Linked DNA regions of Mus musculus. The protein of the gene in region 1 interacts with the protein of each later gene in a biochemical or structural test. Links are inferred from orthologs where the notes say so. Each region holds a gene or a part of one and is shown in the gene's direction. Other genes may lie near its edges. The genes, in order: Tnfrsf13b, Tnfsf13 and Tnfsf13b.

Region 1 (9,676 bases):
CAGAATGTTCCTTCCTGGCAATGGCCTTTACCTGTCACTCCCCTGGCCCAGCAGTGGTTTTGCTGGTTGTAGTTAATTAACACTAGCTATGAAAACCTCCCATGTAGGGTTGGAGTTCCCTCAAACATCACCCTTTTGTCCCACCTTGTCATATGACACATTCCCAGGCACACAGTTCTGGGAAAAATAGCACCAGTGTGTGTGTGTGTGTGTGTGTGTGTGTGTGTGTGTGTGTGTGTATGTGTACATGTGTATATATGTATGTGTGTATATATGTGCAAATGTTTCTGTATGTGTGCATGTGCATGTATGTATACATGTATATATATATGTATACGTGTGCATGTGTTCATATGTGTGCATGTATGTATATATGTGTGACTGTGTCTGTATGTGAGGATGTATGTGTACATGTGTGTTTATGTATGTATGTATGTATGTATGTATGTATGCATGTGCATGTATGCGTGTGTGCATCCTACTGTCAGCATCCTGCTGTAGCACTTCTCTCAGTGGCCTGTCCCACTGAACCCAGTCTTTTGCACACCTTAACAGTGTTGGTTCTGCCTTTGACCTCTGCACCCTGGCTATGCAGCCACCGTCCAGTGGATGGCAGCCACATTGCTGTCAGTCTCCTGCTGCCACTAACAAGCTTCCAGTGATGGGCTTTCAGGGTCAGTATTGGGTAGATAGTCTCCTAAAATGATTCTGTACAGCCAGAAGCTCCATCAGAGGGATGCTCACATTTCCTAGCTCGCTTGCAGCCTGTCTCAGGACCATCCTTCAGAGAATTAGAACCTGATGGATGACATTGGGTTGTCACAGTTTTGTTTCCTTCCTTCCTTCCTTCCTTCCTTCCTTCCTTCCTTCCTTCCTTCCTTCCTTCCTCCTTCCCTCCCGCCCTTCCTTTCTTCCTTTCTTCATTCTTCCTCCCACTATCCCTTTCTTTCTTTCTTTCTTTCTTTCTTTCTTTCTTTCTTTCTTTCTTTCTTTCTTTCTTTCTTTCTTTCTTCTTCTTCTTCCTTCCTTCCTTCCTTCCTTCCTTCTTTCCTTCCTTCCTTCCTTCCTTCTTTCCTTCTTTCTTCCCTCCCTCCCTTCCTTTCTCCCACTCTCCCTTCCTTCCTCCCTCCCCTTTCTCCCTTCTTCACTGTCTCCCTCTTTTCCTCTCTTCCTCCTCCCTTCTCTGCTGGATATTGAACCCAAGGCTTCCCTTACCCTCAGCTCCTATGTAGCCCAGGTTGGTTCCTATGTAGTCCAGGCTGGCCTAGAGCTACATAGGAGCTGGTTCCTTTACGTTAGCCTCTTGAGCACCGGAATTAAGGGTGTATGCCATTTGTTTTCCAGTGCCGAGGATGAAGCCAGGGCCTCGTCCATGCTTGACCACTGAGCTGCACTGCGGTTATGGAGGGGTTCTGAGCTACACAGCATAGTACTATAAATCATAGACACTCTGCCATACAACAGAAACACAGAACTACCTGGCTGAAGCTGGGACCTTCTGACCAACTTGTCCCCGACCTTCCACAGCCTCCATTGACTGATCTTCTTCCCAGTTGTAAGATCTCTGTCCCACAGAGACATGTGGCTTTTGTCTTTCTATGACTGGCTCCTTTTCCAATTTAAGCCATTGATTTCATTTTTTAAATTTTTTAAAAAGATTTATTTGTTTTATTTATATGAGTACACTGTTGCTGTCTTCAGACACACCAAAAGAGGGCATCGGATACTATTGCAGATGGTTGTGAGCCACCGTGTGGTCGCTGGGAATTGAACTCAGAACCTCTGGAAGAGCAATCAATGGTCTTAACCGCTGAGTCATTTCTCCAGCCCCAATTTTTAAAATTTTATGTGTATGGTGTCTTGCCTGAATACGTGTCTGTGCATCACACTTATGTCTGGGGGTCCCTGGAGACTGGAAGAGGGTATTGGATCCCCTGGAACCCAAGTTACAGATGTTTGTGAGCTATCCTGTGGGTGCTGGGAGCTGTACCCAGGTTCTCTGTAGGGCAGCGTCAGTGCACGTACCTGCTGGGCCTTCGCTCTAGGCCATGACTTCTTTTTCTTTTGTTTGTTTGTTTGTTTGTTTGTTTGTTTGAGGCAATGTTTTTTTCTGTAGCCCAGGCTGTCCTGGAACTAGCTCTGTAGACCAGGCTAGCAGAGAACTCAGGAGGCTGCCGGCCTCTGTCTCTCAAATGCTGGGATTAACGGCGTGTGCCACCACATCCAGCCAGACTTCCATTTTTATACATAAAGTTCTCCAGTTCCATCCGTGTTCATACAAATGGCAGGATTTCCTTCTCTTTTGAGAATGAAGAGAATCCCATTGTCCACACACATCCACTGAAGACATGCAGATTGCCTCTGTATCTGGGCTACTGTGAACAGTACTACAGTGAACTTGGGAGTGCAGTTGTTAGACTTTCTTATCCCTGCAGGATTCTGAAGACCAGGGAGTCTAAGCAATGAAGTTGATGCTGTAGCATTGATTCTTCATGTCATATATTGGACATGGAGTTCTCAGTCACTGTGTGCTGAGAACTTGCTATAAGAAGGGGCCTGTGGTGGCCAGGCGTTGAGGAGCACACCTGAAATCCCAGCCCTCTGGAGTCTGAGACAGGAGGCTCTTGAGACAGACAACATAGTGACACCTGTGTCAAAGGAACTAAAAGCCAGACAAAGAACAAGTGACTGTGTGAACTCATGTCATTCTCACAATGACTCAAGGGCCCACTTTTCAAATGAGGGCATGGAGGTACGAGACAATTTATATACAAGTCCTTACCAAGGTATCAGACCCTGAAGCAAAACCCAGATCTACAGGGACTGCACGTAACACCTAACGTCCTGGGAGCAATCACAGATGGCTTCGTGGGAGAGGTGACATCTCAACTGATCATTGAAAAAGAGACAGCAAGAACTGACCAGGCAGCAGCACAGGATGTAATGGTCCAAGAGGAGGGAAGGCTATGTGGGGAGGACAAGAGCTGTTTGGACATCCTAGCCTGGAGAGTGGGCAGTGGGCAGTGGACAGGAACCAGGCGCAGGAGCCGGGCCAGAGAAGATCTAGAAGTGTCAAAGCCCTGTCATTAATACAACCAGGCTAAGCCCTCACTGCTAAGCCAAAAGCGACAGGTCGCTTACCTGTCCTCCCTGGACTAAAGCGCAGGCGCAGGTCAGCAGGGTGGCTTATTTACATCCCCAGGTCGAAGGGGAAAACCCAGGAAGTGTGGCCTAGGCCTAACAAAATCTCAGGCTAATAATAAACGCCCTGAGTAATGAGTGGTGTAGGCCAGGGCAGGCAGGAGGCTGGAGCTGTTGGCGCAGGAGCGTGGTGAGTAGCCAGCCGTGGTGGGTGAGGGCCAAGAGGGTGCTCCGGGGGCTGGAGATCTAGCAGTGCCACCACGGCACAAGCTAAGGCTACTCAGCTTTGGGACAGCTTCAGTCCTGCACACGGAAGAGGCCTCCGGGGGTCAGGTCTTGCCTGCCAGTGGGGTCAGCCAAACAGGCAGGAACCTTCTTTTTTCTATCCACGTGCTCCAGATTTGTTTCCTTGTGCCCCTGGATTAGTTTGAAGTGAATCTGGTAAATTTTGGATGCCTCGAGATGCAGCATTTAGATCTCTGCCCGCACTTAACTGCTGTGAATTTCTAAGAACTCTTAATATCGTGACGCGCCTACGAGCACAGGTGTTGAGCGCGAAGTGCTGATGATGTGTGTCCTCGGTGGGCAGATTCAAATCAGACCTTCATGGCCCTCAGGAGAAAAGTGGGTTCTGTATTTCAGACTCTACCTATCCCCATCTGCCTTCTTATTTTTCTTGCTGATTTTTGCTGATGAATCAGAGCTGTTTATCCTATAGTGTTAAAGAGTTTCCTTAAAGAGTTTCCTCCAAGCTGGGCGGTGGTGGCGAACGCCTTTAATCCCAGCATTCGGGAGGCAGAGACAGGCGGATTTCTGTATTTCTGAGTTCGAGGCCAGCCTGGTCTACAAAGTAAGTTCCAGGATAGCCAGGGCTACACAGAGAAACCCTGTCTCGAAAAACCAAAAAAAAAAAAAAAAAGTTTCCTCCAAGGCAAAGTCATCAGGACCCACCACTCACAGCAGCTCTCGACCCATCCCCCTACCCAAGCTAGACTCAGGCAGGCCTTTGCTAGGATTTCCATCTCTGTCCAGCAACCATGTCCACCAAGGATGCGAATGAGTTTCACAGAGAATCGCAAGAGGTGATGGTCAGGAGCCATCTTGACCCAAAAGGAAATGTCAGAGGACCTGGGACCAGCAGTTAGGAATCAGGGAAGAATGTTCTGGAACCCACATTAGCTTTCCAGTGCTTCAGTGAGAGCCCAGACAGGTGGAGAGTTCAAGTCACTGCTGTTCTTAGTTTGCACACTGGCCCTTGGCCTCGGATAAGTCTCTTCTCTTCACCTACAAAATGGGCCTCAAACCGCAAATCTGCAGTCAACCCTTCAGACCCTCTTGAAAAGTGACATTCAAAGGTTCTGGGAAGTTAGAAAAAAATCCTCTACCTTATTTCAGTATTTTAAATAATTTAACATTTAAAATAATTATTTTAATATTTATTACATTTGTATTATCATGAAATAGGTATATATTCTTTCCATTCATAGTTTCTCTATAATAATAAAAACTAAAGCAGTTACACTTGAAATTAAAACTAGAAAACCACTGGCTAGGTTAGTGGCACACACCTTTAACCCTAGCACTTGGGAGGCAGAGGTAAGCAGATCTCTGTGAGTTTGAGGCCAGCCTGGTCTACAGAGAGCTTCAGAACAGTCAGGGCTACATAGTGAGATCCTGCCTCAAAAAAACATAGTAATAGTAGTAGTAGTAATAGAAAGCCATTAAAATGAAAGTAACCACTTTAATGTATTTCACATAACAATTTTGTTTTACTCAAATAGAAAACTGGTGTGTGTGTGTATGTATGTATATATATATATATATATATATATATATATATATATATATATGTATATATATATACATATACATATATATGCACAAGTAAACTATTCGGATTAATATTGGATTAATAGCAAAATGCTGTAATTTGAGCCTTGTGTTCTTTTTTTTTTTTTTTTTTTTTTTTGGTTTTTCGAGACAGGGTTTCCTTGTATAGCCCTGGCTATCCTGGAACTCACTTTGTTGACCAGGCTGGCCTCGAACTCAGAAATCTGCCTGTCTCTGCCTCCTGAGTGCTGGGATTAAAGGCGTGCTCCACCACGCCCAGCTGGGCCTTGCGTTCTTAAAACTGTCTTGTTTTGTTCTATTGCAGCGTAGGATTGCTCGCTCACAACAGGCACCTGACTGGTATTGAAAGCCGAGTCTTCCCTTCCTCTTTAAAGGTATTCACAATAATAGTCAAACATGTCCTGTGTCCAAGTTTTTGGCTTTGTTTTTTGTTTGTTTTGTTTTTTTAAGAAGATAGGGTTTCTCTGTATAGCCCTGGCTGTTCTGGAACTCTCTGTAGATGAGACTGACCTTGAACTCAGAGTTCCTCCTGCCTCTGCCTCCCAAGGGCTGGGATGAAAGGCGTGCGCCACCCCCTATCCCAAACTGCATCCAGTTTTTAAAAGGCGCAAGAATTCCAAGTTGCCTTCCTCGACGCCTGGACTAAGGGGTGAGAAGACCCATCAGTTTGGGGCTTGGAAGAGGAGCGGCGTGATGCGCCCCTGCCTTGCATGTGGTACGGAGTGTAACCTTATAGTCCTGGTCAGGAGCCTGTAGCACCACGGTGCAGATATGCCGGGTCTTTCTGTGTGGTGCAAGCTGCTGCCTTGACTTTTTAAAAGAAGGTTTCAGACTAATCTGCCTCATCAGTTTTCCGTGGAGCAGCGCCTTGCCATCTAGACAAGCATGTCAGGAGGCCTCCAGAAATTGGAGGTGCTGCCGACTCTTGGGTTTTAGGGTTCGCAGGAACCGGTCTAGGTTACAAGAGGAGTTCCTCCTTCCCTGCTATCTACCAGCAGTGCTGTCTCCTCAAGCTTCCTTTTCTGACTCAGTTGCCGTCACTCTTGGAGGTCTCCTGCCCATCCTAGGGGCTGGGCGGGGCTTCTGGGCTTTACATGGATCTGGTTGGTGGGTGAGAAAGAAGGGTGGGCATAGCTTCTTCTGGTCAGTCTTGCGGTCTGAGGCCGTGGCTGTGGTGGGTCCTGGAGCCTCTCTCAAGCTGACCTGCTCGTCTCACTCACTCCACAGGGATGGCAGTAGCTCCACTTAAAAGAATTTCCGTTTTTAGTAGAATCACAATTGTGTACCTATCACCACAACCTAATTTTAGGATGTTTCCGATATCCCAAAAGAATCCTTATTAATCTTACTTTCTCCCACCTCCAGCCTCAGACCACAGCTAACGGATCTCCCATGTCTAGAGGTTTGCTTTTTTTTTTTTTTTTTTTTTTTGGATATTTTGTATCAGCAGCATCGCGCTCAGTGTGTGCTGTGATTCCGTGTTCCCTAGTGATTCACATGTTTTCACAGGTCACCCATTTTGTAGCATGACCATAGCTACATGTTCATAGCTAAAATAATATCACATTTTAGGGATAAACTATTTTTTATTCATTCATCAGATGGCCAGCATTCGAGTGGTTGCCACTCACTGGGGACAGAGAAAAATGCTTTTGTGAGAGTGGTTATATTTTGGGCAGTGTGTTTTCATCCTTTTGGCTATACAGCTACCCAGGTGTGGAATTGCTGGCTCCCGTGGTGACTTGGTTGAATTTTTAAATAGTTGCCAAGCCACTTGACAAAGTGGTCACAACACTGCCTAGTCCCATTTGACACCTGCAGTCCTCACTTTCTGTCCCTGCACTGTAGCAGCAGTCCTTAGCAGGGGATGTGGCCTCTTGCTGGTTTGAGTTTGCCTTTGCCCAGTGCTGAGCTGGGTCCAGCCTTTCCCTGTGCTTGTTGTTCATTCATGCGTATTTTGGGGGAAATATCTATTCAGCTCTTTAGCCCAATTTTTAGTTAGTTTTTTTTTTTCCGGGAAGGTAATTTTGTAATTAATATTTACGTACAGAGAACTTAGTGTACATTTAACCAAGTTTAGTGGCGAGGTCTTTAGCCTTTGCCTTTTCCAGCTTGGCAGTGTGAGCCACAGACTTAGGACCCAGGACGTTGCCTCCCAGTGGCAGTGAATCTTGTCATATCTGTCATTATAATTGGTCCTACTAGCTTTGACCAGCTTAGCCAGAGCACCCTTGTCTTCTGAGTTAACCTGTGTGAAGGCAACAGTGGTACATGTCTTCCTGTAGACCAGGCACCCCAGCCTGGCTTTTCCCTGATGATGCAGTAGGGCATCCCCATCTTTCGACACAGGGCAGGAAAACCACCGGCTCAATGAGGTCTACGTCATGGGCAATCACCACCAGCTGAGCCTTCTTGTTCTCCACCAAGGTGGTGACTGTGTTGACTCCTGCTCAGAGGACAGGGGGTCTCTTAGTTGGGACGTCCCCTTTGCCTGCAGCTTTCTTCTCAGCACAGGCCAGTAGCCTTTGCTTCTTCTCTTGCTTTGTCTCTGACCTGTACTTGTGGGCAAGCTTAAGCAGCTGAGTAACTGTTTGCCTGTTCAAGGCCTGGGTGAACTGGTTAATGGCAGGAGGTACTTTGAGCCACTTATTGAAGATGGCTTTTGGCCGCTGCAGCCTGATGTAGTAGGGCCATTTGATAAAGCATGTTAGATCTCTTTTGGGCTGGATGTCCTGACTAATGCCAAACTTCTTGGGCCTTTTCTCAAACAAAGGGTTGACCACCTTTTTAGCCTCCTGTTTCTTGATGACTTTAAGGGCTGGGGACACCTTCTTCCCCTTGTCCTTCTTTGATCAATTGATTTTATTTGTTTGTTTACTTTTTTTTTTTTTTTTTTGAGACAGGGTTTTTCTGTGTAACAGTTCTGGCCATCCTGAAACTCCCTTTGTAGACCAGGCTGACCTCGAACTCACAGAGTTCCGCCTACCTCTGCATTTGAGTGCTGGGATTAAAGGGATGGGTTACCACACCCAGCCCTTTGAGTTTTATTATTTTTTAATGATATCAGGTAAGGACTTAACTCCATTTGCATGTGTCCATCCAGCTTTCCCTTCAACGCTGGTATAACATCTTAAATGTATGACACCCTAATTTAAATGATATCAGCTATTCATTGAGAAGACTGGGTTTTGCCCCGTTGAATGCTCACGGTACGCCTGCAAGGAAGCCATCTGCTCATACAGGTGAAGACTGGTTTGCCTTCCCTATCCAGCTGCTCTGGTCAGACCCCTGTCTGTGCTTTCACCACGCTGTGGACTGCAGCAGCTCTGCCTCTTTCAGAGCCAGGAAGAGTGACCCCAGCTCGCCCTTCTTTTAAAGATTATTCTCAGGTCCTAGTAATTCCATTTGAATTTTTAGGATAGGGTTTCCTATTTATGTTTTTTAACAAGTCATTAGGATTCTGTTCTAAATTCTGATTGGTAGGTTGCTTTGGGCCATATTGACTTCTTAAGTCTTCTAGTCTATGAACACAGGGTATCTTTTGGCTTTTTTTTTAGGTAATTTCTTTCCACAATATTCTATATAATTTTTGGCATACACTTCTTTCACCTCATTGGCTAACTTTACTAAGTATTTTATTTCTTTATTTTATGCCACCATAAGTTAAATTGTTCCTTAGTTTTCTTAAGGACTGCTCTTTGTGAGCTTATGAGAATTCAATGGCGTCTGGTTGCTAATATTTTTACCATGTAACTATTCATTCCAGTATGTATGTATGTATGTATGTATGTATGTATGTATCATCTATCTGTGTATCTATGTGTCTATCACCATGATAACTACCATTGTCATTTTGCCTAAGTGCCAGGTTTGGGCCAGGCCTTTACTTAAATTTCATGTGTATGCAGCAACCGTGTTCACAGGTTCATGTTCACAGGGTGCTGATACATAGTTTCTAGAGAATTGGATGAGGCATACTTGACCCAGAAGTAAATACCACAGGATCTGGGACTTGGAGTAATCAGCCAGAAGTTTTGTGTTGGTTTGTTTTACCATGAAAAGGTGTTGGATTTTCTCAAAGGCTTTTCTGTACCCATTTGGCCGACTGTGTCGTTCCCTCTTAATTCTTTCATTGTTGTACACGGAAGCGATGGCTCTTTGCAAAGCCGAATCCTTGGAGCAGCCTAAGCACAACCCCCTTTTGATCACAGCGAATAACATGCTGTGGGGTGCATGTGCTGACATTTTTTGAGGCGCTTGTCCCAGTATTCATAAGACATATTGGTCTGTGGTTTTATTTCTTTTAATGTCTCTTTGGGGCTTTGACATACGATGTATTTTGTCTGACAATAGTTGTAAATTTGCATCTGTTCTTTGGGCATGATTTGCATTTTTTCCCTTTATTTTTGCTTTTCAAGGCAGGGTTTCTCTGTGTAGCCCTGGGGTTTGCTCTGTAGTCCAGGCTATCCTTGAATGCACAAAGATTTGCAGTCTCTTCCTCCCAAATACTGGGATTAAAGGCCTGAGCCACCACAACCTGGCAATGCAGGAAATATCTTGCTCCATAATTTTATTTTTAAATCTTCTGTGTCCTTTGATTTGTGTTGGGGTTGGGGCGTGGCTAAGAGGTGGAAACTGTCTAGCAGTCTGTAGTCCCTGGGCTCCACCTGTAACACCACAAACA
Region 2 (9,817 bases), about 8.6 Mb from region 1:
CTGGGAGTAGCCGGTAGGCATTAGAACTGATCAGATCCCCACAACCGCCATAGCAGGAGGACACCGATAACCTACGTCTAATGAGAGGGATATTCAGCTTGCCCAAGGTCATGGCAGGCCTAAGTGGTGGAGGTGGGATTCAAAGCCAGCTAGGACATGCTTAGGTGCTGAACAGAGTCTTCATGAGAGACTCACTTGGGGCAGGGATAAGGTTACCCACAGGCTAGAGAAGGTAGAAGGGATGATTCTAGAAGGAAGAGATGACACACTTCCATCCTGAAGATGCCAAAGGAACATGAGAAGTGGTGCTTGTAGGTTTTATGGGGGACCCCAGGGGAACTAGGGACATGGCAGCAGAAGATCTGAGGAGAGATGCTACACTAACAAGTATAGCCCTTATGGGAGCTGCCAAGTAGCATGGGACACCCTTGAAGGTTTATGGTGCTGCGTGACCTAGGAGCCATTCACATTCCCAAGTATACCCTGTCCTCAGACCACAACTAGCCTTGCCCTAAGCCAGTCTACACCCAGTATTCCTTCTCCTTTTTCCTTCCTCACTGTTCGGTAGGGCCAGGCTAGCTCTCTTCACCTTGGGAGAGATGGTTTGTTTGGGCATCATTATTTCGGCATTATTGGGCAGCTGATGATTCCCCAAGCCTCAGCCCACCGGCTCGGCATACATGCAATCAGGAACCTGCTCAGTACCAGGGGCCAGGCCACGGTGAGTCACACTCACACATCTTTGCTTAAGGATTCACCACAGAGGAACAGCAGGCAGTCTGTAAATGTGTAATTACAGTGGTAGATGACAAGAATGATGGTAAGGTAGCCCAAGATACATGGCACCACACAGGAAGACGATTTTACAGTGGAGTCAGGGACTCCTTGCCCCTGGTAGTAGCATTTAGGCCTTAGTAGGCCTCAAAGCTTAATTGGGTGGTAGAGGCAGGCTCAGGACCCATGCAAGGCCAGGCTTTCCCAAGAGTCTGATGAGGCGGAAGGTTGTTAAAGAGTTTCAGTGAGGTGGGGGTGGAAAAGCGCTCTATACATGTGGGGTACCTGATCTTCTGATACTGTGACATGATGTCCTCTGCAGATACATTGGGCCATGTCCATAGCACCCTGAGATGCATGGGGCCCTCTGATGGCTGCAGGTTGCACATGCCTGTAAAAGAAAATAGGGTAGGGTAGAAGACTACGGAAGACAGATGGCAGGCAGGTCACAAAGAGAGAAGGGATTGTTCTTCAGTGACCTATCCATCAAAGGTAATGCAGGGAGAGTCAGGTTTTGGACATAGCAACTCCAATACTTTGGGGAATAAACTGGAAAAGTCAAAATTGGAAACAGTGAGGAGTCCCGAGGAGGCCAGACTGGGGAGGGAGGGGAGGAGAGGACAGGGCTGTTCAGGAGCGGGAACAGTAGGAAACTGTTATTATTGAGCAAATTTGGTATTGGTATAGGAGAGACTGGTGGTTCTGTGAGCCACGCATGGGGTGTGGATACTGGAGTGAGTCTTCATTCACCCTTCTGGGTTAAGGGGTCAGGTCAGTTTGGGTAAAGGGAGGCTGGTAAAGGACAGGTGGCTGTGCTAACAACTCAGATGGAAATGCCCAGAAAGAATCACTGCCCCCCCCCAACCCCACAGTGAGCATGGGGTGGGTAATGTGGAGAAGGGACAGGGAGACAAACTGAAGGAGGGCCATAGGCTAGCTAGACCAGTGCTGTACCACAGAGCCACACCCTAAGCCAAAGAGTTACTGTTTACTTGAGAAAGGGATGAGAAAGCCAGGCAGGGTGGAGCGCAGTGTGATTCCAGCACCTTGAAGGCAGAGGCAGGAAGGTCAAGGCAGTGTACTGTAACTACCAGGCAGCCAGGGCTACACAGTGAGACTCTGACTTCAACCAAGCAACAAAAAATAAGAGACAGGAACAGAGCTGGGGATGGCAGAGAGGGAGGGCTGAGGGGGGTGGATGACTGACTGACTGTGGGGCCTGAGGCCCAGGGAGCCTGTGGACCCAAAGGATGAGAACTGTCAGGTAACTCCTCACCCGTGCATCTTAGGCCTACCTTAGGTGAGGCCCAGTTCTAAGTGCTGGGAAGATAGTCGGGGTGAATAGGACAGCTGTCCTTGCCCTTGCAAGGGGGGATGAATACAGAGTTCATGTTTTGCTGACTGCTGGGGAACAAGAAGGGAAGTCAGAGATGGGCATGGCCGGGTCTGTTTGCTTGTCTTATTTTGCTTTGTTTTGAGACACGGCTTTGAATTCAGGAGCTTTCTTTCTCAGAATCCCAAAGGATCAGATTATAGACCTGTTCCATCTCTCTCTCTCTCTCTCTCTCTCTCTCTCTCTCTCTCTCACACACACACACACACACACACACACACACACACACACACACACACCACTCCCCCCCACTCCCCGCCCCACATATCACACACACACACACACACACACACACACACACACACACACACACACACCACTCCCACAGGAGAAACTAGAAGTCATTGTCAGGAAGAGAAGAGCTGGCGGGGGTGCAGTTGGGGGAGGAATACCATTATAAAGCCCCATAGAGAGAAGGAGCTTGGAGCATGGTGGGAGACAGGAAGAAGGCCAGGATGGGACGTGGTAGTAGTGGTGGGGGTGGGAGTGGGGTGGGGGTGATAGCCTTGGAGCAGAATCTGGGAAGTCATAGACTCTGAGGTCCAAGCTGACTACTACTTCCTTGTTGTTTGTTTGTTTTTTTTCGAGACAGAGTTTCTCTGTGTAGCCCTGGCTGTCCTGGAACTCACTTTGTAGACCAGGCTGGCCTTGAACTCAAAGATCCACCTGCTTCTGCCTCAAGTGCTGGGATTAAAGGCGTGTGTCACCATGCCTGGCTTTCTTTACAGTTTTCGACTACACTAGTTCTAGAGATTTCTCTTTGTTTTGTGGTGACATAATTTAGAGTCCTAGGCACGCTAGCTGAGCACTTTACCCCTGAGCTACATCCCCAGCCCTTTGCATGGCATGGCTTTTGGTAGCAGCTCTATTAAGATAGATCTCACAGCCGGGCAGTGGTGATGCACGCCTTTAATCCCAGCACTAGGGAGGCAGAGACAGGCAGATTTCTGAGTTTGAGGCCAGCCTGGTCTACAGAGTGAGTTCCAGGACAGCCAGGGCTACACAGAAACTCTGCCTCGAAAAACCAAAAAAAAAAAAAAAAAAAAGATAGCTCTCACATCCCATGCAGTCCGCCCACATGTATAATCCTGTGCTCTACTGTGACTAAAGTGCACCCTGAGGTGTAAACCGTTAATCACCAAAAACCATGGCTCACACCTGCAATCCCAGCATTAGGAGGCAGAGGCTGGTGCAGGCCAGTTTCTGGGTTAGAGACCAGCATGGGTAATATAGTGGACAACAGGATAGCTAGGACTGCATAGAGAGCCTGTCACAAACATGAGGCCAAGTCTGGTAAAGTGGCACATACCATAATCTCAGCACTTGGAAGGCAGCATGAGGAATTCAAGTTCATCTTCAACTGCATTGAAAGTCTGAGGCAGCCTAAGCTACATGAGATCCAGTGTCAAAAAATAATAGTAGTAATAAAAAGAGGAAGAAGCAGCCGCGCATCCTTTAGCCATCACATTATAGTCCCATCATGGCTAACCTCAAGTAATCACCTGCCCCCTCGCAGTCTCTATAGACTACTTATTGCAGGTATTTCCTATGCTTGGGAGCAGACAATATGTGGTTCTTTCACTGAGCACAATGTTTTCAAGGTTCACTCACATGCTAGCAAGCAACTCTTTATTCCTTTCTACAGCAGAGTAATGGACCAAGAGACAGGGATGTCATATTTACTCATCTGTTCATTTGCTGATGGACATTAAGAGTTATTTTATTTTTTTCTTAGTTTTGTTTTGTGACAGGGATCTCTATGTATCCCAGGCTGTTCTGGAACTTGCTCTATAGACCAGGCTGGCCTCAGACTCACATAGATACTCTTGCCTCTGTCTCCCAAGTGCTGGGATTAAAGGTGAACACTAAAGGTGTGCACCAGCAATGCTGGGCATATTCTTCTCATTTGTATAGGAAGTTTTCAATTCATAACCCATGAGTCTGTGGCCTGTCACCTGTTTTCAGTTGACTCAAATGATGCGGGCACGTGTGTATATAGTATAGTATAGTATAGTATAGTATAGTATAGTATAGATGTTCAGGACATAAACCGTGAAGTAAAATGTAAAAACCCCAACTCTTCTGCTGTAGCACTACTCTTTATTCTCCCCAGAAGCAATCACCAGTGACAACTTCCTGGTCATGTATGTTAGGTTTCATCACACAATACTTTATTATCACTTCGTGTACCATAAGGGCATGGCTCCACCTATACTCTGGGCAAGCTGTACCATGTATGTGTGTGTATACACACACACACAAACACACACACACACACACACACACACACACACTCTTAATGGATTCCTGGGGAATGTGTGTGGGGTCTTGTAAAGGGGCTTCTACTTATCCCTAAACATCCCCCATTCAGGTGTGGATGGGACAGTGAGTGGCTGGGAAGAGACCAAAATCAACAGCTCCAGCCCTCTGCGCTACGACCGCCAGATTGGGGAATTTACAGTCATCAGGGCTGGGCTCTACTACCTGTACTGTCAGGTAAGCCCTGCCTGGCTTCAGGGGCAGAGCAAAGGCTAAGGGGAGGAGGGACTGGCAAGGAATGGGTGGGAGAGGGAGACTCTGCGACTCATGAAGGAAGATGCCTGGCTTTCGATGAGGGAGGCAGAGGTCTGGATTTGCTTGCCTCTCTCTGTTCCAGGTGCACTTTGATGAGGGAAAGGCTGTCTACCTGAAGCTGGACTTGCTGGTGAACGGTGTGCTGGCCCTGCGCTGCCTGGAAGAATTCTCAGCCACAGCAGCAAGCTCTCCTGGGCCCCAGCTCCGTTTGTGCCAGGTGTCTGGGCTGTTGCCGCTGCGGCCAGGGTCTTCCCTTCGGATCCGCACCCTCCCCTGGGCTCATCTTAAGGCTGCCCCCTTCCTAACCTACTTTGGACTCTTTCAAGTTCACTGAGGGGCCTTGCTCTCCCAGATTCCTTAAACTTTCCCTGGCTCCAGGAGCATCACCACACCTCCCTACCCCACCCCCACTCCTCCACCCCCTCGCTGCTCCTTGGTCCAGTCCTGTCCTCTCCTCAAAGGCAGCCAGAGCTTGTTCACATGTTTTCCATTCCACAGACGTATCCTTGCTCTTCTTTAACATCCCATCCCACCACAACTATCCACCTCACTAGCTCCCAAAGCCCCTACTTATCCCTGACTCCCCCACCCACTCACCCGACCACGTGTTTATTGACTTTGTGCACCAGGCACTGAGATGGGCTGGACCTGGTGGCAGGAAGCCAGAGAACCTGGGACTAGGCCAGAAGTTCCCAACTGTGAGGGGGAAGAGCTGGGGACAAGCTCCTCCCTGGATCCCTGTGGATTTTGAAAAGATACTATTTTTATTATTATTGTGACAAAATGTTAAATGGATATTAAAGAGAATAAATCATGATTTCTCTTCTTTGGGGTTCAGAGTAACTGAAGATTGTGGGAAGGGGATTTAGGCTTTGGGGAACAGGGACCTGCATGCCTCCAAGCTGCAGTTCTGAATAGAAATCACAAAGGTACCAGAAAAAAAATGCAAACAAACAAACAAACAACAACAAAACCCACCTGGTCCTCTGCTCAAGGTGCTGCAGAAGCAGCCTCATTTTCCTAGCAAAGGACTTCCTCCTGCAGGGGAATCCCTGGCTAGGAGGAGCAGGGCCCTTCCTCTTGGCAGCCTCAAGCAGTTGAGCAGGTGCTGGCAGAGGTCTGGCTAGGACATGGGATGGGATCTAGCTTGGGAAGGGGCTTAGAACCAGCCGTAGGAAGGATTCCGGTGGGCCAGCTACATGGGCGTGGGGAGGAGAGCTGCACCGACTGAGGGGCTTGCCGCTTTTGTCTTTTCTCTTTGTCCAGAGAACCTTATGTAAGAACTCTTCTTGGGAAACAGGAAGTCCAGCTTGCCAAGTTCAGCACAGGGAGTAGTGCAGGCCTGGTTCCAACACACCCGGCCCAGCCTTAACCCCAGCACCCTGCCAGTTTCTTGTCCCTGGTTCTCCTCCCTGCTGGCCCCTAAACCCCTTTTTTTCATCTCCAGTCACCCCTAACAAACCTCCTCAAAGATCTCATTCATGCCTGAGTCAGAGTCTACCACACTCACCTTCTAAACCCCACGCTGCCCAGCTTATACCCATTCCCTGCTCCTGGCACCATGCCCCATAACCAACCGACCTGCCCTCCTCCAACTTAGGGGCCGCCCCTGGGCTCCTGAAGGCTGGCCGCTCCTTCTGGGTGTCACGGCTGCCCTGTCCTTCCTAGATAATGGCACCAAATTCTCCTGAGGCTAGGGGGGAAGGAGTGTCAGAGTGTCACTAGCTCGACCCTGGGGACAAGGGGGACTAATAGTACCCTAGCTTGATTTCTTCCTATTCTCAAGTTCCTTTTTATTTCTCCCTTGCGTAACCCGCTCTTCCCTTCTGTGCCTTTGCCTGTATTCCCACCCTCCCTGCTACCTCTTGGCCACCTCACTTCTGAGACCACAGCTGTTGGCAGGGTCCCTAGCTCATGCCAGCCTCATCTCCAGGCCACATGGGGGGCTCAGTCAGAGAGCCAGCCCTTTCGGTTGCTCTTTGGTTGAGTTGGGGGGCAGTTCTGGGGGCTGTGACTTGTGCTGTCGCACTACTGATCCAACAGACAGAGCTGCAAAGCCTAAGGCGGGAGGTGAGCCGGCTGCAGCGGAGTGGAGGGCCTTCCCAGAAGCAGGGAGAGCGCCCATGGCAGAGCCTCTGGGAGCAGGTGAGTCAGGGGAGATGGGAATCTAGGGCTGAAGGATGAATGGCAGAGGGGTCTCAGAGCCTCTCAATCTGCAAAATTGCAAGTAAGTGCTGGAGGTGGATCTAGATTTGGAAGTCAAGGGAACAGCCATTTAAGGAAAATAAACACCCTGAAAGGCAGTCAGTGCCCAGATCAGGGGCCTATGACAGATACATACATTTCAGTTATTCCTGGTGTTGAGGAGGGCTGGGAAGAAGGTTGTCTGAGACCCTTAACATCTTAGTCAAACTCTGGCCCTCTTTCATGAGCAGAGTCCTGATGTCCTGGAAGCCTGGAAGGATGGGGCGAAATCTCGGAGAAGGAGAGCAGTACTCACCCAGAAGCACAAGAGTGAGTGAGCCCTGGGGTTTCGGTGCGGTTGGCGGTGACCCAGGAGCACGAGGGATGCGGAGCAGGGCTGAGGTGAGGGTGGACTCCAGGGCAGGTCAACACTGCTGTTTCCTCCTTCTTTCCTTAGAGAAGCACTCAGTCCTGCATCTTGTTCCAGTTAACATTACCTCCAAGGGTAAGCACTATTTTAAATAACGGCACTGTGGGAGGGGCACCAACCAGGAACTGTGGGGCTGGGGCCAAGAGAACCCTAGAACTGAAAAGGGAGAGAGCTCATGTACTGAGGGTAAGGAAATGCTGACCTGCACACTCCTCACCTCTAGCAGACTCTGACGTGACAGAGGTGATGTGGCAACCAGTACTTAGGCGTGGGAGAGGCCTGGAGGCCCAGGGAGACATTGTACGAGTCTGGGACACTGGAATTTATCTGCTCTATAGTCAGGTAATCCCAGATAAGCCCTGAGCCTGCCGTGTGGACATGGAGACTGGCTTGTCACTCTTCTTTCTATGTACCCTGTCTGTAAGGAGGGTTTTCCTGATCCCTCTGCTCATACTAAACTTAGAAAACCCCCTCCTTATTGCCTGGCTCCACTGCCAGTGCTCCTGAGGCCTCCAGGGACTGAATGGTGCCATCCCGGTTTTCTTCAGCGTCTCCCTTCTCTGACAGGTCCTGTTTCATGATGTGACTTTCACAATGGGTCAGGTGGTATCTCGGGAAGGACAAGGGAGAAGAGAAACTCTATTCCGATGTATCAGAAGTATGCCTTCTGATCCTGACCGTGCCTACAATAGCTGCTACAGTGCAGGTGAGAACTGTGGGCTCCGTGGAGTGTTGATATGAGGTAGCAGAGCTGACTTGGAGTGGGGAGTTAGACCAGAGAGTTGGGAACGGGGGTGGAGAGGCAAATCTGAAGACTCAAGAACAAGATGCCAAAGTCCTTGCAGGGAGAAAAGGCACCCGCCTATGAACAACTAGGTTCGTGCCTATAATCCCACATATGAAGCCCATGTGATAGGTTAGCCTAAAGTTCAAGGTCAGCCTAGGCTACAGAGTGAGACTGCCTTCAAAATTCAACAAAGCCAGTGAGACCGCTCACTTAGGAAAGTAACTTGCTCCATCCCTTACATCTCACCTCCTGGGTTTGATTCCGAGAACCCACAGAGCAAAAGGAAGGAACCAACTCTCAAGCTGTCTTCTGATCTCCACACATGCACATGTTCCCCAACAAAAAACTGAAAACATAAAATCAAAATGGAGGAGGGGCTGGAGCAGGCAGAACGAAGCGTCTGAAATGTTTTTTTCCCCCACCCTCAGGTGTCTTTCATTTACATCAAGGGGATATTATCACTGTCAAAATTCCACGGGCAAACGCAAAACTTAGCCTTTCTCCGCATGGAACATTCCTGGGGTTTGTGAAACTATGATTGTTATAAAGGGGGTGGGGATTTCCCATTCCAAAAACTGGCTAGACAAAGGACAAGGAACGGTCAAGAACAGCTCTCCATGGCTTTGCCTTGACTGTTGTTCCTCCCTTTGCCTTTCCCGCTCCCACTATCTGGGCTTTGACTCCATGGATATTAAAAAAGTAGAATATTTTGTGTTTATCTCCCACACAGCCCCAAATTCTTTTGTTGTGTGTGCGAAGGGGGTTTTGCGCACTGTGCCAAGCCTTGTCCACTGGAATGCATCCAGAACAGCAGCACCATCTAGCGGCAGGTTGAGGAAAGACTATGGTCTCTGCTAGGGAAAACCTTATCCAACTCTTCAAGTACCCTCTGCTTCAATTAACAAGAAGCCCGGCTTTCAGTATTTCACCTATTGCGTCCAAATTCTTGTTACTATCTAGAAAAAGATATATGTTAGGTGCCTCGATATGCATGCCATTCATCCTCCCCATTCTCCTATACACTTCCGAGCTGGGCACTGAGCTTTACGCCTTAAATCACAGTACTCGGGAGGCAGATCTCGATGAGTTCGAGGCCAACTTGGTCTAAATAGTGAGTTCCAGGCCACCCAGGGGTTACAATGGTGAGACCCTGTCTCAAACAAACTAACAAACAAATAAACGAAAGGCTCTCCACGATCAGACTGGTATCCGGGAAGTTTGTATGTACTGGACGCCCTGGCACACCGGTCGTGTCTCACTATTTAATCACGCCCTGCTTAAAGTTTTTGTTTTTTTTTCTTTTTTCGTTTTTTGAGACAGGGTTTCTCTGTGTAGCCTTGGCTGTCCTGGAACTCACTCTGTAGACCAGGCTGGCCTCGAACTCAGAAATCCGCCTGCCTCTGCCTCCCAAGTGCTGGGACTAAAGGCGTGCGCCACCACGCCCAGCTGTTTTTTGTTTGTTTGTTTGTTTTTAAAAACAAAGCCCTCAAAACCCAATGTTCGGCCTCCGTTTTCCTAAGCGCCTAGCTTTGGTCCAATCCTTGCGGGGCCCCTGACATTCTGGCCATGCACTGGGAAGCCCACTAGATCACCCAAAGCTCAGGCCACGGAAGAGCAGGGAGTACCGTGTGGCTGCGACGTAGAGCGTGAGGCTAGGCGCGACACGCAGGCGTAA
Region 3 (9,653 bases), on another chromosome or scaffold:
TAGCCAGTACAAGTATATATAATATATTGAATATTATATGTAGTCATATATAGTCAGTAATAATATACCACAACATAAAATACCCTCAGTAACCACAAGGAAACACAAAATAGCTATATAGCTATGCAGAAAAATAATTAGCTATAGGAAACTTTCTATTGGCTAGTCCGACTAATCATACAAACCAAAATTATTTAATTAAGTAAGTAAATGAGACATTTTAGATTAGAATAAGAAAATATCAAGGATATGTCGTCTTCAAATGTCTAAAGCCTAACCCTCACAAAGGAGCAGTATGAGGAATTACACTAATGAAATTCAGGGAACTATAAATCAATGAGTCAGGTCATAAACATTCCTAAAATCTAAAACACCCCCCCCCATGTCCTTGTGGTAACATCTTAGCCGAAATGAAAATCCAAACTATATTTTCACATTTTTATATAAAACATCAATAATAAGATATCAGACAGAACTGAATTTTACCAAGCAGTTTATGTCAGTTAAATGTGTTCCTATCAATAAATAAGAAAAGGGTAACCAAGAATCCCTGCTGAAGATTCCTAATAAAGGACAAAATCAACAAGAGAATTAGAATGGAACAAACCATAAAGATGGGTGCATAGCTGAAGAGATATACCTGGCTGGCTGTTAGGGCACCCTCACGAAGGATGAACTGAGAGAGAAGGCCTTCTTCCAGAGTAGGTGACCCCTGAGGAGTGAACCACAGATAAATGGCCCCTGGGATGGAGGCGGGGAGACAGTATTGCCTGCCCACCTTTGTTTCTTGCTGACGAGTGCATCTCCTCCTGTTGCTGCTCTTGCTGCCTTTCAATTGTCCCAGGGCCCAATGTCTTCACCCTTCCACCATGGACTTGATGCACTGGGATCTTCCAGAGTTTCAGTCACATATTGAGACTTGTGAGGCATCTGGTTTCCTGGACTAAGCAGGCACCGGGTTCTCAGCCTGTCCTGCACACATAGTCATAGTAGGGCTACCCAGCCACTCGTGCAGTCCAATCTTATAAGATTCCATTTACAATCTTTATTCATTCTACAAGTTTATTCATGTAGGGAAAAAAAAAAAAAACCACTATGGAAAAGTGAGCATATGGGTAAAATAGCCAAAATCATGGAAATTGAGGCTGAAAATAAAAAGCAGGTAGCTGTGCTAGTAGTAAAGAGTCAGTTCATGAAATCAGAACGTGGTGGGAAGGATGATGACGGATACAACCAAGCAAAAGAAACATTACAGGACAGCAGCCAAAGCTGAGACAGTAGCACCTCCAACTGGGAGTGCGCACAGCCACAAGCCCACACAGCCGGGGAGCGCCAGTCATCGGAGCTGGAGCAGGGGGTTCCTCAACCCAAAGGAAACAGGCATCTTACGAGGAATTGAGAGTCCCCAACTTAAGTCACCAGAGAAGAACATTTCCATCTCATGATTCAGTCAAAAAATACATAGCAAAGAAACAATATTAAAAACTGTAACGGAAAAACGCCAGTTCTCTCCGTGGGCAGAAACACCAGAATAACAGCCAGGAAAGTAGGGAATATTGTATTTTAAGACCTTAAAGTAAGTGATTGCCAGTCAGGATTGATAGAAATAAAAACACTTTATGCAGCGCGTGGCAGTGGGGTCTATGCTGCAGAAATGATCTGTCTGAATACTATCTAGGGGAGGGGGAGAGTCTCACTCAGAGAAGCCCAGGAAAGAATAAATACATGAGAGCAGTGCAGAAACAAAGGAGAGCTGGGATCCGGCATGGCCAACACAGCAAGTCAGAAAAACAAAAAAACAAACAAAAAAATACTAATAGGACAGGGAGAAATAATTAGCAACATCCTAGCATCCCCCACAACCAACAAACCCACAGGAAACAGCAATCCCTTCTCAAAAAACCTAATGCAAACTTCCTCAGCACCAACATGCAGACCAACTTATTGCATCAAGACAAGATCTAACTATCTGGTATTCCAAGAGATGTGCCGTACGTGGTGGCCACCCACAAACTGCCGAAGGGCAGTGAGTACACCAGTGCTGTGCGGTGGTCAAGCAATAAAGAGTGCACTCACCATCGAGTAAATCTCAGATTAGATCATCAAACCATTTCCTCTGCAGGAAGCAAACCTTTGAGTTAGGGAGAGATAACGTTCATTTCCTAAGAAATCTAAGAGCCCTCACTGTAAAGGAGCTGTTTTTGTGTGAACTCTGTGGGCGTTGTACAGTGGTGCCTGCTAGCCAGAAGGAGGCTTCTTGACAAACTTTTTTGGAAGAAGCAGTGGCCATTGATGCACAGTGACAACCACTACCTGAACCAACACTGGACACTTATTCTAAAATGACCTGGACTCAGATTGGTCTGGGCTTTAAGTTGAGGAGTTTGGCCATGAAGTTCTTTGCCTTATAGAGCAGAGAAGGCAAAGGGCATCTTATAGCCCAGCTAGATAATTCCCTCTGGATAATTATACAGAACAGGAAGAAGGTGCCGTCCTTTGGTCTTGCACTTCTTCGAGTCATTTAATTTCTGTATGTGATTTGGTAATAACACATACCTGAGATATGTGCTTGATTTTGAAGCCGGGTTTTGCTCTGGAGCCCAGGCTAACCCTGAACCCACAATCCTCCTGTCTCAGCTTATCATGTGGTGGAATTCTAATCCTACCATTAAGTCTCATGAGGGAGGGCCAGGGGCAGAAGCTGGATGGGTGGTGGGGAAGCCTCCCTCTGGAATCCTTGCTGCTGTGTGTCCTTGTTTCTGAGATTTTCTTCCTAAGCTTCTGAGGGAAGGCAGCATGAGGCAAAACCACTGCTCAGCAGCCCGAGGTTTAGACAAATGGAGTCTCGGCTAAGTGTTCAATGGCCTGTGCTGACTGAAGATAAACGGATGTTGAGGTACCAGGCTCCCAGCCAGCCTTCCAGACCAGGAAAGACTAAAATGAATGGAGCAGTGCCTTCATGTCACCAAGCCCAGGCACAGACTGAGGACATCCTGTGTCCATACCTGTGAAACGAGTGCCATCAATGTGGAGACTGTGTGTCAGCTCCTAGCGGGGTGGGGGTGGGGACTGAGTCTCTGCCATGCTTCCCTGTAATCCACCCCACATTTAAAGCTCCCCCACCCCACCCCCACCCACCCCCACCCCCGGTGTGGCCTTAAATAGAGCTGTAGCATGTTCTCTTCGTTGCCCCACCAAGACGAGAGCAGAGTTCAGATGGAGTTCAGTCACTCAGCTTTATGGCGCTCCATTTCATCTTCCACTGGGGAGCTGTTGGCTTCCTTGTCCGGCAGCCAAATGCAGTTCAGACTCAAGCACTGAGCTTATCTGACTTGTACATTAATTATCGTTTATTACACCACTAGGCCTTCAGTGTCCCCTTTCCCCTTCCTTAGAAGCCATGTGGCTCCAAGTAGACAGTTCTTAAGAGCACACTGAAGGGAAAGCACCTTCGATAAGCTTGTCTGGAGTGAGTCAGTCTGAACCCCAAGCTGCCCCCCCCCCCAGCCGCCGTGTCAGAGGCCTCGCATCTCCCACAAACAGGACTGTATTGAGATAGAATGAAACATCTTACAAAAACTGAAAGTGAAATGCGGAAGGCAGATTGAGCAATCCATGGAAGGCCAGAGCCAGAGAACCTACTTCAGGGTAGCAAAAGATGCAGAAGAAAGTCAGGAGAGCGCTCCTGGGGGAACCCAGCCCTGCCATGCTCTGAGGGCAGTCTCCCAGGACACAGATGACAGGAAATGACCCACCCCTGTGGTCACTTACTCCAAAGGCCTAGACCTTCAAAGTGCTCCTCGTGGAATGGATGAGTCTGCAAAGACCCTGCCACCACCGTGCCTCTGTTTTTGCTCCGAGAAAGGAGAAGATATGAAAGTGGGATATGATCCCATCACTCCGCAGAAGGAGGAGGGTGCCTGGTTTGGGATCTGCAGGGATGGAAGGCTGCTGGCTGCTACCCTCCTGCTGGCCCTGTTGTCCAGCAGTTTCACAGCGATGTCCTTGTACCAGTTGGCTGCCTTGCAAGCAGACCTGATGAACCTGCGCATGGAGCTGCAGAGCTACCGAGGTTCAGCAACACCAGCCGCCGCGGGTGCTCCAGAGTTGACCGCTGGAGTCAAAGTGAGTTCACCCCTCCTCTGCCTGTGCAGGAGCCCCAGGTATGCCACTCCACAGCTGTCCAGTAACGGACTGGTTGTCTCTTTTCCTAGCTCCTGACACCGGCAGCTCCTCGACCCCACAACTCCAGCCGCGGCCACAGGAACAGACGCGCTTTCCAGGGACCAGAGGAAACAGGTACGGCTGGGGCACAGCAGTTAAGAGCTGGGGCTGTGCTGTGCACACCTGCAAGCCGCCCGGCCGCGGTGAACGAAGCACTTTGTGTAGCTTTGTAGCAATTGCAATAAGCTGCGTGGCGTGCCTTGCCCTACACTGAGCAGGGTGTATGGATAGGAGGATCCCTGTGGGAGGTGACAAGACGACTAGGGTGCACGGATCTCTCGCACTGATGTGTGCTCAAGGACTTAGCCGCAGAGCTCTTCCTGTCACCGCAGTCACGTGACCGCCTGCATCCCAGACAAGAAGCCATTCCCTAGCATTTTCAGATTTCCCATGTTCTGGCCAAGTTCAGATGTGGACAAACCCTGCATTATGAGGTTTTACTAATTTTTTTTTTAAACACACGCGCGCGCACACACACACATTGTGGGGGCAGTTGCAAAACACACAGAAATGGCAAAGACTGTAATGCACCCTTTCCATATGCAACATAATTTCCGTGTAATCAGTCTGGTGTGGCTTCAGTGGTTGTTGTCCATTCCCCAGCGTTTTGCAGAGTTGGGAGTTACTGAAATGGACTTTTCTTCTTGCTTCATGAGGAAAAAAAGAAGCAATACTTGTTTGTTAACAATACAATTCAGCACACTCCTGATGTTGACTGCCTTTTTATTCTTATAAAAAAATTTTTACCTGATAGTCTGAGTGAAAAACAGCTTAAAAGCTATATAAACAACAAAAATTCTTGACTCTCTAAGTTACATGCCAAAAGAGTATGAAAATATTACATGCACCGCAGTACCAAAATTTTTGTGCAAATCTGAAATTTACTGTATGTAGTGTTAGCTACCTTCTAACCTTTTTGCTGAAATAATTACAGCATGTATAGTGCACTGTACACAATAATAGAACATATGCCATGGTGCATATGTAGTAACAGTACATATACCACAATGGATGGAATAATAGCACATAATTACAGAGCATGTAATAAGTGCCCTGTATGTCACGGTGTGTGTAATAACAGTGCATAATCACAGCGCACATAATGGTACAAGCAGTACACTCTGCTGTATTTTATTTCTTATTTTACAATAAATATCTCACTGATTTCTTAGTAATTCCCTTTGTCTAATTTGCTGCTTGTGCTTTAAATAATGATTTTATTATTACTGTGACTGATACAGGATACACAATTTTTCTTGTGTGTATCTCTTGTGTCTGAGGAATTATGCATTCAATAGAACCATAGATTATTATTCAAGTTTCTTATTGTGAACTCTTTGGGGTGACAGGTTTCTATATGCTCATTAGAATTTCATCGTTGTACCTTCATTTCCATACTTATGTAGCATCAGATAGCTCCTCAAGTTTGAGTGTGAACCCCATCCACTAATTATAAATACTGTTCACATGTTTTTATCTTATTTTCAATTTTGTATTTTTAAATTAATTGGTTAGTTATCTATCCTTTTTATTTATTTATTTTAACAATTTGACATTGATGTAATTACTTGCGCTTCACCTTGTATTTTCTTCAAACCTATACAGAGCCGTTGTGATTGTCTGTCTCTTAAAGGGATTTCTGTTTCCTCTGGTTTATCAAGTTAAAGCACATTTGCCCCTCCCTGGCTTTCTAATTACCAAGCTGCAATCCCCTTTACTTGTCTCTTGTTCTGACCAAGCCTTCCTTTGCTCCTAACCTATTAATCCCTGTGTCTTTTGTTGTGGTAAAGCCTCTCACACTTGTATGACTTCCTCCTTTCTCCATCCCCCTTCAGGCTGTTGTCTCAAACAAAAGAATGCAACTATTTTCCATAATTCTGTGCTGGTGAGCTTGTGGAGTCAGTCCTTTATGCAGGACTGGATTTATGTGCTATCACTGGCCTATTTCTCTGCCCAGCTGCTTCGGATGGTCTAAGTAGTTTTACATTTTAGTGGACATCAATACCTAATAGTCAGGCGAGATGCCACAGAGGTCTTAAGTCATGTCTGCTACACTTCCAGGCTTCTAAGGACTGGTTTCAAAAAGAAACCACAACTTCGCCATTCTAAAGAGAACATAGACTCATTTTAAGAGCTTTAAGAGTAAAGAAGAGCAGAGAATTATAATGTATGTCGTTAATTCTAGAACGTTGGAGGTAGATGGAATTAAAGATTTCAGCCTGATCTATATAGAAAGTTCTGGACCAACAGGGCTACATAGGAAGAAAAAGAAGGAAAAGAGACAAAGAGAGACAGAAACAGAAAGAAAGAGAAAGAGAGAGGAATACTAGGGTTAAATATCCTGTAATGATATAATTTTTAAAATTTTCCCATTTGTATATTTTATAGATTTGTGAATTTATGCATCCAAATATTTCAGACTGATGCAACTGGGAGAGGGAAAATAATTAATAATTTGTAAAATTTAAAGAACAATGTACTGTCAATGTATGATATATGTATTTTGTTTTTTTCTTTACATATATTTCCCTAATACTCATAAACCCAAGATGAGAAAGTTTCAGATATGAGACTCAAGGAAAGGAAATATTTCCTATTCCTAGACAATTACAGTATTGACTCTTGTTTTATATATTATCCCTTTGAAACGAGAAATTTTATTTTGTGATCAGTGACCACTGTGATTATCTACTAACCCACAAAAGTTATATGAAACTCGAGGATTTTCTATTGTGGTTTAATCGAGTCTTACTTTTAAATTGAGAAAAATGTATTTGCTTTTGTGAATTTGTGTTACACATCTGGTTGTTCTGATTGTTTTCTTGGACTTAAAATAACCTGGGGTGTTCCTTTTACTTTCAAGGTGTCCACTAAGGCTCTTATCTGGGAGCTGCTTATATCTGTGTCTGAGCTGTGGGTATCTCCATCCTATCTCATCTCACAGCAGCAGAGGGGAAACACAGATCCCTGCCAATTCTTGAGTCCTCCGGGGACAATTAGTACTTTTGCTTAATTTTAAAACTTAGCATTTTGGCATACTTTTTTTTTTAGCTAATTTGAATTGGAATTATATTTTATTAAGCTTAGTACATTTTATAAGGTCATTTTATTATAGTATAATAAACAGAAATGTGGGGAAATCCAGGAATAAAGAATTGCCAAATAGCTTATCATAACCAACAATTCACTCTTAATCCTTTAAATGTGTTTGGAAAGATTCTTAATAATAATAAAGAAAACTGAGCAACATGATCTGAAAATATTACATAATCTAGTTTCCTTAAAACTGCCATCACACAGGACTGTGCTGTGAGCCTTCACGAGCTACATCTTTATTCACTTCACAATCTAAATAAGAACATCTTTAGAGCCTGAGAAGGTGACTTCTTTAGAGCTTACTGGCAAACAGCATTAGCCTGTCATCCCAGCTACTCTGGAGCCAAGGAAGGAGGATCACATGATGAGTTCAGTGCCTGCCTGAGGCAGCTCAGTGAATCGGGAGGCAGAGGCAGGCGGGTTTCTGAGTTCGAGGCCAGCCTGGTCTACAGAGTGAGTTCCAGGACAGCCAGGGCTACACAGAGAAACCCTGTCTCAGAAAAAAAAAAAAAAAAAAAAAGATTCCTGCCTCAAATTTAACGAGGGAAGAGGAGTCAGCTCAGTGGTCCAGCTTCTGCCTCGAATGCACGGGGCCCCAGGACCAAGCTTCAGCATCTCCCCACTTGTTAGTCAACAGGAAAAGTAAATGGGCAGGAGGCTGCGAATTTCCATTCTTATTTTGTTTCACGTACCTTTGCTTTCTGACTTAGGATGGTACCTCCAGAGGGACAGCAGATAGGAAAGCTTCTTGACATAGGAATCCCAGTCCTTAGAACCGCAAGTCAAATGAGTGTCCGTCCCTTGAAGACAACCAAGCCTCTGACATTGTGTAGTATCAGACATCACGTATTAGGACAGGTATCCCTTGGTTAGCTCAGAAAAACTGGGTTCTAATGGAGCTGAGTAACTAGGTTCTGTACGTCTGTACTTTGTAGTACTGACCTCACCATTTCATATCCACTGTGTTGTTCCGTGGACTTCCGTGGACAAAGTTACTATTCTCTGTGATGTTCTGTGTTCCTAATGCAGGTTAGCTCACACCCATTCTCTGTCTAGGATTGTCTAATACTTTGATTTTAGAAAGACAAAACTCTCTTTTAAAAACGTTGTATTGATTATTTTGTGGATAACATTTATCAAAGCTCCTGCAGCAGTAGCAGTGGTAAAGCAGAGGTGGAAACGGGACAGTTAGGAGATATAAAGGGGGGCAGAGGGACCCAGAGATCACAAGAGCAAGGACCAGGATCGTTTAAGATTCACAACCACGCAAGAACTATCTGTATTTTATCTCCAAATAATAATTATTGGACAGGGCTGTTGAGATGGCTCAGCGGGTAAGAGCACCAACTGTTCTTCCGAAGGTCCTGAGTTCAAATCCCAGCAACCACATGGTGGCTCACAATCACCCATAATGAAATCTGACACCCTCTTCTGGTGTGTCTGAAGACAGCAACAGTGTAGTTAATCTATAATAATAAATAAATCTTTAAAAAAATAATTATTGGACAACTTGGGTCACTCTGCCTTGTTTCTACCCATTTATCCACACAGACTTCTCAGTTTGGAATCGGGTTTTGAATTATACAGGGTTACAAAGATAGTTCAGAGCCTTTGGGAATACCTTTGCCCAGCCTCCCTTAACTATGTGGCTCCAGGCCAAAAGAAGAAATCCAAACTAATGGTCATCTAGGAACTCAACACCAGCTGTAACTTGGGAGTTTAGGTTCCATCCAGAATGCTCTACTGCATTTAACAATTGTAAAATTTAGAAATTAGAGGATATCATGCAAACATAATACCTAATATTGTAACACAAGTCTTCTCTTGGATAAAGAGAAGTGCCAATGCTATTTTTGAGTGGCCTTTCTTGATCTCCATAATCCAATCCAAGGAAGGGAAAGCCGTGTTGTTTTCCAAGTTGGAAATGTTGGCTTAGCCTTTCCAGGATAGCTTGACCTACAGGCTGCACCATGTCTAAAGGAATGCAGTGTAGAACTTAACCATTTAGGTGAACTTGAGCCTCCTACCAGGCATGGGTGGGCCCCTTCCTAGAACAGCTGGCTGTTCTAGGTGATCTTTGACCCAGTCTTCACTCATTTTTTTTCTCCTCTTTTTCAGTGGAAAGGCTCCCCTGAACCCTGCCCTGTGTGTGTGTGTGTGTGTGTGTGTGTGTGTGTTGCAAGAGCTGGCATTTCTTCAATTTCCAAAATTGTCTTTAAAATTGGAAATACGGATCTGATAACCAAATATCTGAACCCTGTTCTGGTTGAGCTAGAAGTTTTGGGAAATGGGAGTCAGGAAGCCAAGCCAGTCGGTGCAGCCAAGCAAGGCTG

The links.
Region 2: the proteins of Tnfrsf13b (region 1) and Tnfsf13 form a complex in vitro, tested with the Homo sapiens proteins (2 studies listed by BioGRID and IntAct). The link is inferred for Mus musculus from reciprocal best matches to the Homo sapiens genes TNFRSF13B and TNFSF13.
Region 3: the proteins of Tnfrsf13b (region 1) and Tnfsf13b form a complex in vitro, tested with the Homo sapiens proteins (3 studies listed by BioGRID and IntAct, with this or other methods). The link is inferred for Mus musculus from reciprocal best matches to the Homo sapiens genes TNFRSF13B and TNFSF13B.

Annotation. Positions count from the first base shown.
Region 1 is NC_000077.6:61,123,485-61,133,160, forward strand, and holds the start of Tnfrsf13b (tumor necrosis factor receptor superfamily member 13B), read left to right. Parts: upstream 1-3,270; 5' UTR 3,271-3,331; intron 3,332-5,296; exon of another isoform or gene 5,297-5,366; intron 5,367-9,676. UniProt on the Homo sapiens protein: Receptor for TNFSF13/APRIL and TNFSF13B/TALL1/BAFF/BLYS that binds both ligands with similar high affinity. Mediates calcineurin-dependent activation of NF-AT, as well as activation of NF-kappa-B and AP-1.
Region 2 is NC_000077.6:69,682,098-69,691,914, reverse strand, and holds Tnfsf13 (tumor necrosis factor ligand superfamily member 13), read left to right. Parts: upstream 1-6,360; 5' UTR 6,361-6,655; coding exon 6,656-6,886; intron 6,887-7,176; coding exon 7,177-7,255; exon of another isoform or gene 7,256-7,382; coding exon 7,383-7,430; exon of another isoform or gene 7,431-7,511; intron 7,512-7,578; coding exon 7,579-7,697; intron 7,698-7,922; coding exon 7,923-8,061; intron 8,062-8,388; exon of another isoform or gene 8,389-8,488; intron 8,489-8,570; coding exon 8,571-8,680; 3' UTR 8,681-9,338; downstream 9,339-9,817. Other genes in the region: Tnfsf12 (tumor necrosis factor ligand superfamily member 12), read left to right, coding at 4,539-4,663, 4,824-5,075; Tnfsfm13 (tumor necrosis factor (ligand) superfamily, member 12-member 13), read left to right, coding at 4,539-4,663, 4,824-4,958, 6,785-6,886, 7,177-7,255, 7,383-7,430, 7,579-7,697, 7,923-8,061, 8,571-8,680. UniProt on the Homo sapiens protein: Cytokine that binds to TNFRSF13B/TACI and to TNFRSF17/BCMA. Plays a role in the regulation of tumor cell growth. May be involved in monocyte/macrophage-mediated immunological processes.
Region 3 is NC_000074.6:10,003,036-10,012,688, forward strand, and holds the start of Tnfsf13b (tumor necrosis factor ligand superfamily member 13B), read left to right. Parts: upstream 1-3,597; 5' UTR 3,598-3,807; coding exon 3,808-4,125; intron 4,126-4,214; coding exon 4,215-4,299; intron 4,300-9,653. UniProt on the Homo sapiens protein: Cytokine that binds to TNFRSF13B/TACI and TNFRSF17/BCMA. TNFSF13/APRIL binds to the same 2 receptors. Together, they form a 2 ligands -2 receptors pathway involved in the stimulation of B- and T-cell function and the regulation of humoral immunity.